Arabidopsis thaliana: one gene and its partner. Each later gene encodes a partner of the first gene's protein in a complex. Each region holds a gene or a part of one and is shown on either strand. Other genes may lie near its edges. A codon is read from its position in the direction of its gene.

Evidence for each region.
Region 2: the proteins of NAGK (region 1) and GLB1 are in contact, whole or in part, in a crystal structure (PDB 2RD5), measured with the Arabidopsis thaliana proteins. Residues at the interface, in NP_191315.1 of Arabidopsis thaliana: Arg195 (codon at 2,772), Glu208 (codon at 2,811), Val209 (codon at 2,814), Ala210 (codon at 2,817), Arg211 (codon at 2,820), Val212 (codon at 2,823), Glu251 (codon at 2,940), Ala254 (codon at 2,949), Ala255 (codon at 2,952), Ile286 (codon at 3,045), Lys287 (codon at 3,048), Lys290 (codon at 3,057), Ile310 (codon at 3,117), Arg311 (codon at 3,120), Ala314 (codon at 3,129), Gln315 (codon at 3,132), Gly316 (codon at 3,135), Gly347 (codon at 3,228); in NP_192099.1 of Arabidopsis thaliana: Arg82 (codon at 1,338), Trp84 (codon at 1,230), Arg85 (codon at 1,227), Gln88 (codon at 1,218), Arg118 (codon at 738), His119 (codon at 735), Gly120 (codon at 732), Gly121 (codon at 729), Ser122 (codon at 635), Glu123 (codon at 632), Glu153 (codon at 462), Thr157 (codon at 450), Glu159 (codon at 444).

Annotation. Positions count from the first base shown.
Region 1 is NC_003074.8:21,310,646-21,314,396, reverse strand, and holds NAGK (N-acetyl-l-glutamate kinase), read left to right. Parts: upstream 1-2,018; 5' UTR 2,019-2,189; coding exon 2,190-3,233; 3' UTR 3,234-3,572; downstream 3,573-3,751. Other genes in the region: AT3G57570 (ARM repeat superfamily protein), read right to left, coding at 92-228, 327-429, 538-820, 954-1,035, 1,125-1,335, 1,451-1,551, 1,649-1,799. UniProt on the Arabidopsis thaliana protein: Involved in the arginine biosynthetic pathway via the intermediate compound ornithine.
Region 2 is NC_003075.7:819,658-823,408, reverse strand, and holds the start of GLB1 (nitrogen regulatory P-II-like protein), read right to left. Parts: upstream 1,864-3,751; 5' UTR 1,674-1,863; coding exon 1,475-1,673; intron 1,383-1,474; coding exon 1,337-1,382; intron 1,235-1,336; coding exon 1,207-1,234; intron 817-1,206; coding exon 729-816; intron 638-728; coding exon 570-637; intron 490-569; coding exon 420-489; intron 300-419; coding exon 264-299; intron 171-263; coding exon 115-170; 3' UTR 1-114. Other genes in the region: AT4G01897 (dihydroorotate dehydrogenase), read left to right, coding at 1,943-2,074, 2,240-2,314, 2,761-2,922; AT4G01895 (systemic acquired resistance (SAR) regulator protein NIMIN-1-like protein), read right to left, coding at 3,030-3,452. UniProt on the Arabidopsis thaliana protein: Participates in sensing carbon and organic nitrogen status and regulates some steps of primary carbon and nitrogen metabolism.

The DNA.
Region 1 (3,751 bases):
CGGACACAATAGAAACCCATAGGTACTGTATGTAATATTTATCTCTATCACAAAATTTTGAAACCAAAAAAGATTGGCGACAATTTCTAACCTTAATACCAGACAAATATTGCTCCAACAATTCCTTACTAATCTTTGAGAACTTTTGATCTTCCATGTGGAGCAAGACACTGTAATGCTTCCAACAAGAAGAGAGCAGTAGAGCTCCACCCATAGATACCTCTGTGCCTGAAATCCAGGTATTAAACAATGAATTTGAAAAGCAAGAATCAAAAACAGAAACAGAAAACGGAAATGAACAAGGAAAGGCGGCATCAGTCAGAGACCTGCCTCCTTTTGGGAGCCACCATGATGCTCTTTCAACTCCTCTAACCATTTCAGCACTTGACTTAACCCCTTCGCATGCAGTAGTCGAGTTTTTCTGTTCCACTGGAAGGAATCATTTGTCAATATTACTCGACTCAAATCATGGATTACTTCGTCACTTCAAAATTTAGAACACAGCTCAAGCATATTTAGATGGATCAGCGAACATACAGCAAAAAGACATTGTACAAGGCGTGTCAGATCCTCCATGTGGTTCCACAGTATACAATTTGTCTCAATGTTTGAGTCTTCAGGTAGAGAAGTCGGCCTTTTTTTTTTCTCACTAATATTAGGTGTCAAAGCAACAGGTTGATGAGACCCCGTAATGGTTGGTGACTTTGGTCTATTGATCAGAGTATTATCCCTCTTTGCTAAGGCTCCAGTAATTGACAGCAAGCAATCAGCAGCAGAAAGAGAAAGACGAGATGGCACCTCATATCCATCTTGTAAAATACTAAACAAAATAACAACAGCTCAGAACAAAGTGGAAATGACTATGTATGTAAGTGTACAAACTTGCTCCATATAGAACAAAAAATAGAGAGCAGGAGATGATATTTATACCCATTGACAAAGAAGTTTTATACCTTCCATTGCGTACAATCATCAACAAGTGAGGCACACAAGATGAAACAATCTCCACAAACATAGAATGTTTCTCCCTAATTCCTGTCAACAAAAAAATTTATACAAGTACATAAGTAAAGAGAGCGTTTTCTTTCCTTCAATAGAGATAGCCAGATGATTATAATGCTCACCATGCCAAAAACCTTGATCCCCAGTATCCTCACATTCTACAAGACGTCGGATAAGTAAACACCATCCAAGCGCTAAAAACCTGTCCTCGTTCCTCAAAATGATATTCGAAAGATTTCTCGAAACGGCTTGAAAGAGAACTTCATCTTGAAATAGCCAATTTAGAAGTATCATAGCTGGGTTACCATGCTTAGAATCCTTAAACCTTAATGTCTAAAAAACAACAACAAAAGTAGAGAAACCAACACGTAAGAACATACAAGATAAAAGACCGGACATTACAACAATCAAGCAAGGTTTTAACTTTTCACAGGGTTTAAGATATTACATGTTCGATAATGGGTACAAGAATTTCACTCATGGCTTCGTCTCTCTCAGCAGCGTCTATAACGCACTTTTCCAAAAACCAGAGTGCCTCATCGATAGAGCCTAACGAAAACAAACAGATTATAAACCCCAAAAGAGCATGTGTAAACATAAATAAACACAGATTAAGGATAAAATTGAAATTGAAAACAGTTATTACCTGAGACACCCTTTTGAGAATCAGGAGTTAGACGAGAAATAGACTCTCGTAGCTTTTTAGGGCGAGCTGAGAGAAGCGTACTCATGAACCTAGCTACAGTGACGGAGACTAGAGACTCCGGTTCTGATCTTCGTATCAATTCCTCCTCCATTTCCCTCTCAATAATCAGCAATTCCAGGTATTTAATTTATTGCTGATTGAAATTACTCTCTACTCTAATTTGTAGCAATCTCGCGGAGACGACGACGAACAGAAAAAAAAAAAAAAAAAGCCTGAGCTCTGTTTTATTTCCCGCTACAAGATGAAACGACATCGTTTAAGTACAAAAAGAGACAGAACAACAACGTCAGCGTTTTGTATTTCACAAGTACGTCACCGTTTAAACTTAGGGCTAGGACAGCATCTTTGTGTCTACGCTCCACGTGGACATTAATCATTTGTTCATTTTGTTGTTTAACTAAAATCGTCGAAGAAGATCTGAGAGACCATCTCGCTTCAGCTAATTCGCCGCCGCTTCCTCCTTCTCCGGTAAGGTTCAGGAATGGCCACCGTCACATCCAATGCTTCACCTAAATCCTTCTCCTTCACTGTTTCCAATCCTTTCAAAACCCTAATCCCCAACAAATCACCATCTCTCTGTTATCCAACTCGCAACAAGAACCATCACCGTCTAGGTTTCTCGATAAAAGCCACCGTATCAACACCACCTTCAATCGCAACCGGAAATGCACCTTCACCGGATTACAGAGTCGAGATTCTCTCCGAATCTCTACCATTTATCCAAAAATTCCGAGGTAAAACCATAGTTGTCAAATACGGCGGCGCAGCAATGACTTCGCCGGAACTTAAATCCTCCGTCGTAAGCGATCTCGTGCTCCTCGCGTGTGTCGGTCTTCGTCCGATCCTCGTTCACGGTGGTGGTCCTGACATCAACCGTTACCTGAAACAACTCAACATCCCAGCTGAGTTTCGTGACGGACTACGTGTCACCGACGCAACGACGATGGAGATCGTCTCTATGGTTTTAGTCGGAAAGGTCAATAAGAATCTGGTTTCTCTTATTAACGCCGCCGGAGCCACCGCTGTGGGGTTATCAGGACACGACGGTCGTCTTCTCACAGCACGACCTGTTCCCAATTCAGCTCAGTTAGGTTTCGTTGGTGAAGTTGCAAGAGTTGATCCATCTGTGTTACGTCCGCTCGTTGATTATGGTTACATTCCAGTGATTGCCTCTGTTGCTGCTGATGATTCTGGTCAAGCTTACAATATCAATGCAGATACAGTTGCTGGAGAGCTTGCGGCCGCGCTTGGAGCTGAGAAACTGATTCTGCTGACTGATGTGGCTGGAATCTTGGAGAATAAAGAGGATCCAAGTAGTTTGATAAAGGAGATTGATATAAAAGGAGTGAAGAAGATGATTGAAGATGGGAAAGTTGCTGGTGGGATGATTCCTAAAGTGAAGTGTTGTATAAGGTCTCTAGCTCAAGGAGTTAAGACTGCTAGTATTATTGATGGAAGGAGACAACATTCTTTGCTTCATGAGATTATGTCTGATGAAGGAGCTGGAACTATGATTACTGGATAAGTTTGCTGTAATGGGTGATCATCAAAGTTGAGTTTTTTGTATTTGAGAATGCCAATGTTTCTTCATTAGGATGTCAAATATGTGCTTTAAACTTATGATCATTTCTTATATTAGTCTTTAAAAGACAGTTTTTTTCGGTTTACATATGCAACTTTGATGATTATCCTTCGTCTTAAAAAAGTTAGGATTATCTGTTTTAGTAAATCTTCTTCTTTCTCATTTGTTTAGCTCTGTTCTTCTTACATTGTTTATCCAATGTTTGTTCATTAGGATGTCAAATCTGTGCTATGAACTTATGATCATTTCTTATGTTAGTCTTTGAAAAGATTTTTGGCAGTTTTTGTTGTTTGCATCTTAGCATTTGCAGCTTTGTTGTCTCATGAATATCATTCGTCTTAAAAAGTTATATTTTTGGAGACACTAAGCTGTTCTAAGGATAGTTGCTTCTTTTTTCTCATTTGTTTGTTTGTTTAGCTCTGTTTCTTCGTACACAAAATATTTCTTTAGCTCTGTTTGAG
Region 2 (3,751 bases), on another chromosome or scaffold:
ACACATCTTGATCGATTCAACATGAAACCAAACACAGACTCCATTCATTATTATTCGCAGAATCTAGAGACCGAAATGAAAAAAAAAAAAACCATTCTTGAGCTCTGTTTGTTCCTAAGACGGTGAAAGCATATCACCAGTCATCTTCTCTGCTTTCTCCCCACGCTCACCTGAAAATGTTTTATCAACATGTACACACGTTTTAAGGCAAGCCAAGATCTGTGTCTTTCTTTTAAAAAGAATATGGCTTTTGAAGTTTTTACCTGTCCTAACTCTTATGACATCTGACACAGGCAAAACTGTATATAACCAAACAAGAAACAATCACAATCTGAGTAATTTCATTTTGCATTTACAATTTGAGGTATCAAACATAAATCTGATTGTGAAAAGAGTAACAAGAAAACTTTTTGTGTTACCAAAAATCTTGCCATCACCAATCTCTCCTGTCCTTGCTCCTTCAATTATTGTGTTGATTACAGATTCCACCTGCAACAAGAAAAAAAAAAGTAATGGCTCAAACTCGAATTTCGCTTATGAAGTATCGATTTTTTTAACCATATACGTACTTGGTCTTTCTTAACAACGATTTCCATCTTAACTTTAGCAACAAATTTGTCTTCCGAGAACTCAGAGCCTGCAAATGCAACAATGTGTATAGAAAAGTCATGAACACATTTTGACAATAAGAAGAATCATCAAACCAATTCTTGAATTCACGGACGTACCACCGTGTCTCTCGGTAGAACCTCCTTGTGCACCAAACCCTCTCACATCAGAAACAGTAACACCTCGAATCCCGATTTTCAGTAAAGCCTATTTATTTATGAAACAGAGAAACTCAAGATTTAGTTTTGGATTTTTCAAAAGTGTAATAATCATCTCTATATACTAAGGAAGTAACAAGTACCATCTACAATAACTATGAGAACCATAAACCCTTCAATTCAAATTCACATTTCAAACACTAGAGAAACGAAGATTTGACCAGTCCTGTCGAGTTCACTGACATTATTTGATTTTCGCATGCATCGATAAGAACTACTACTCTTACTTATTTCTCAAAATTCTGTTTTATAGTATTCAAAATCCACATTTAAAACACTATAGACTCTTCATGGATAACAAGTAATAATGGAAACCTCAAGTGATTAGCAAAGTTCAAATCTTTTCACATATCAAAGTTGAGAACAAGGAAAATCTTACCGATGAAACTTGCTGGATTCTCCATGGTCTTTATCAGTCCAACATTCATACATGAACAGAGAAGAAACAAGCAACATTGTCACAATTATGAGCTTTGATTGGTACATCAAAACAAAAATTAGAAGCTTACCTGACAATTGCTTCCACCTTGTAAAATTTCGAGTCTGGAATATAATCTAACAAAATATGAAAAGAGAAATGCTATGAACACACAAAAGAAACCAAATTGATCGAAAAAAGGATCAGAGACTCATTACTGTTGGCTTACCAGAAGATATTTGGGCACTAACGACAGGTAAAACACGACTGTTATTACTCGGTGACTTTGTGACCAAATCGAGGCAAGATGGTCGGGAATGTCTGAATCCAGAACAAATCGAAATGCAATCAGAGAAAGCAATGTTCTTTCGATCAGAATAGAAACCGAGAGAAGTTATTGAGATGGGTTTCGTCATTGACGCCGCCATGATTCTAGTTTTTTTTTTAACACAACTTTCAGAGTTTCCTCTTTACCAACTGATTTCGACCATCGAAAGCGACGACGAAGGAGGTAATTATTGGAAGTGGAACTTCGAAGTTGACGACGAGTCGGTTTAGCTAATAAAACCGGTTTAGTACAGAAATTGATTTCCGGTTTAGATCGGTTTAGTGAAGTGGCTCTGATGGAATGGAATCGAATCAAGTCTGCTTTAAAGTTACGATTTTTCGATCTCACACTGGTTAAGGTGAAACAAAAATGGCTGAGGAAGAGTTCATATACAGAATCAGTACGGAACAAGAATGGGAAGAGTTTAAGAAGAATGGATCTTCTTATGGTGCAGAGATTGATAAATCAACTTGTTATTATCATCTCAGCAAACTTGATCAGGTCTTTCTCTCTTCCCATAAAGATCTCAACTTTTTCATTTGGGTGATGAAGATTCTCGAAAATTTTCTCATTTTCTTAGGCAATTTGGTTTGAACTTGTGAAAAATCATTACTTTTATGTAGATTTTTACTGCTTTTGTGATGAAATCGATTCTCTGATTTCTAGGTACAATTGACATTGAAGAACTTTTTCGTGGATGTGAAGGAGTATCTTTACCTTCTTCAAGTCGATCCTAAGAAGGTTGACTTTTACCTTTAACTTGAAACATATGTGGATAGAAAATTTATGATCATTTTTGTGTTAGGGATCCTCTAGTTTGGTGAGTGGTTGATTTGGTAAATGTTAGTTTATTGCGTGATTAGCTCCATGTTTAAGTAGAGGAGCAGTTAGCTAAAGTGGGTATGAGTTAGCTAGAGTTGGTTATGTGTGGTTTGTGCTAAAGTTTAGTGTTATTTTGTACACTTGAAAACAAAATGGGTTTCAAACATTTTTCTTACCAAGCTGCAATTGTGGATAAACACAATCTAAGTAGCAGAACCATGATCTTAGGATGGTCATGGACATTGATGTAAAGTTCTTACAAAATTGTCATTTGAATCGTTATGCTACGTTGATGTTTTGGATACATTTTAGTGCTAAGAAGAGATTGACATTTTTGTTTTTGTTTGATGTGCTTTATTTGGCAGCTTGGAGATGGATTAATCTATGAAGCTGTGGATGAAGTAAATAGCTTCCCTCACTTCTATGGTCCAGACAAAACCTTCGTTCCTCTTCCTCTAGATTCTGTCGTCAAAGCTGAGAAGCTAACATTCATCAATGGAAATTTCACATGCAGCTTCTTGACTTGATGATTCACTGCTTTAAGTTTAATTGCAATGTCACTCTTTTAATAATGTAATTAAGAAAGTTTTTTTCTTCTTATTCACGAAACAGAACCAAAAAACAAAGTGTATTATTACAATGCAAGATTAAGATCTAAACCATTATCTTTTCTCATCACCTTCTCAACTTCTTCTTCTCCTTCATCATCATCTTCTTCTTCTTCATCATCTTCTTCTTCTTCTTCTTCTTGCTTCTCTTCTTCTTGGTTCTTGGTGGAGATAATCGAATTCGATGGCTTTAGGTTTAAGTCCATACAGTGAGAAAAATCTTCAGCACGGAATACAGGAACAATGCTGTAGTCGGATCTCTTGGTCGGCATCGAAGCAACGTCGCCAGAATCTTGAGTTAAGTATTGTCGTCTTCGTTTCTTAGCATCCTGGTAGTTTTTAATGAGATTGAAGAACATGTCCATCTTCTTGTTCTCCAACTCTTCTTCTTCGTCTTCATCGATCTCGTTGATCCTTTTGTTCTCTGTTTTTTCTTCTTCTTGGTTCATTATCTCTTTTCGATGGTGAAGAAGAAGAAGAAGAAAGTTTTGTTTTTCTTTCTTTTGTTTTTGGAATTTAGGGTTTTTAGGAGAAATGTATATTGAGGGGAGTGGTGAAAGATAATGGTATTAGAAAAGACTAAATTGCCACTTATAACCTCCAATTTATTTTTCTATATCTAGTTTATTTGTATTTCAATTAAAAAATGTGTTCTAGAAAAGAACATATAGTTTTAATTAGATTTCTAAGTGAAACCAAAATCCACAAACCAATACATTATTAAATTCCCTTAAATAAAGAATAAAAC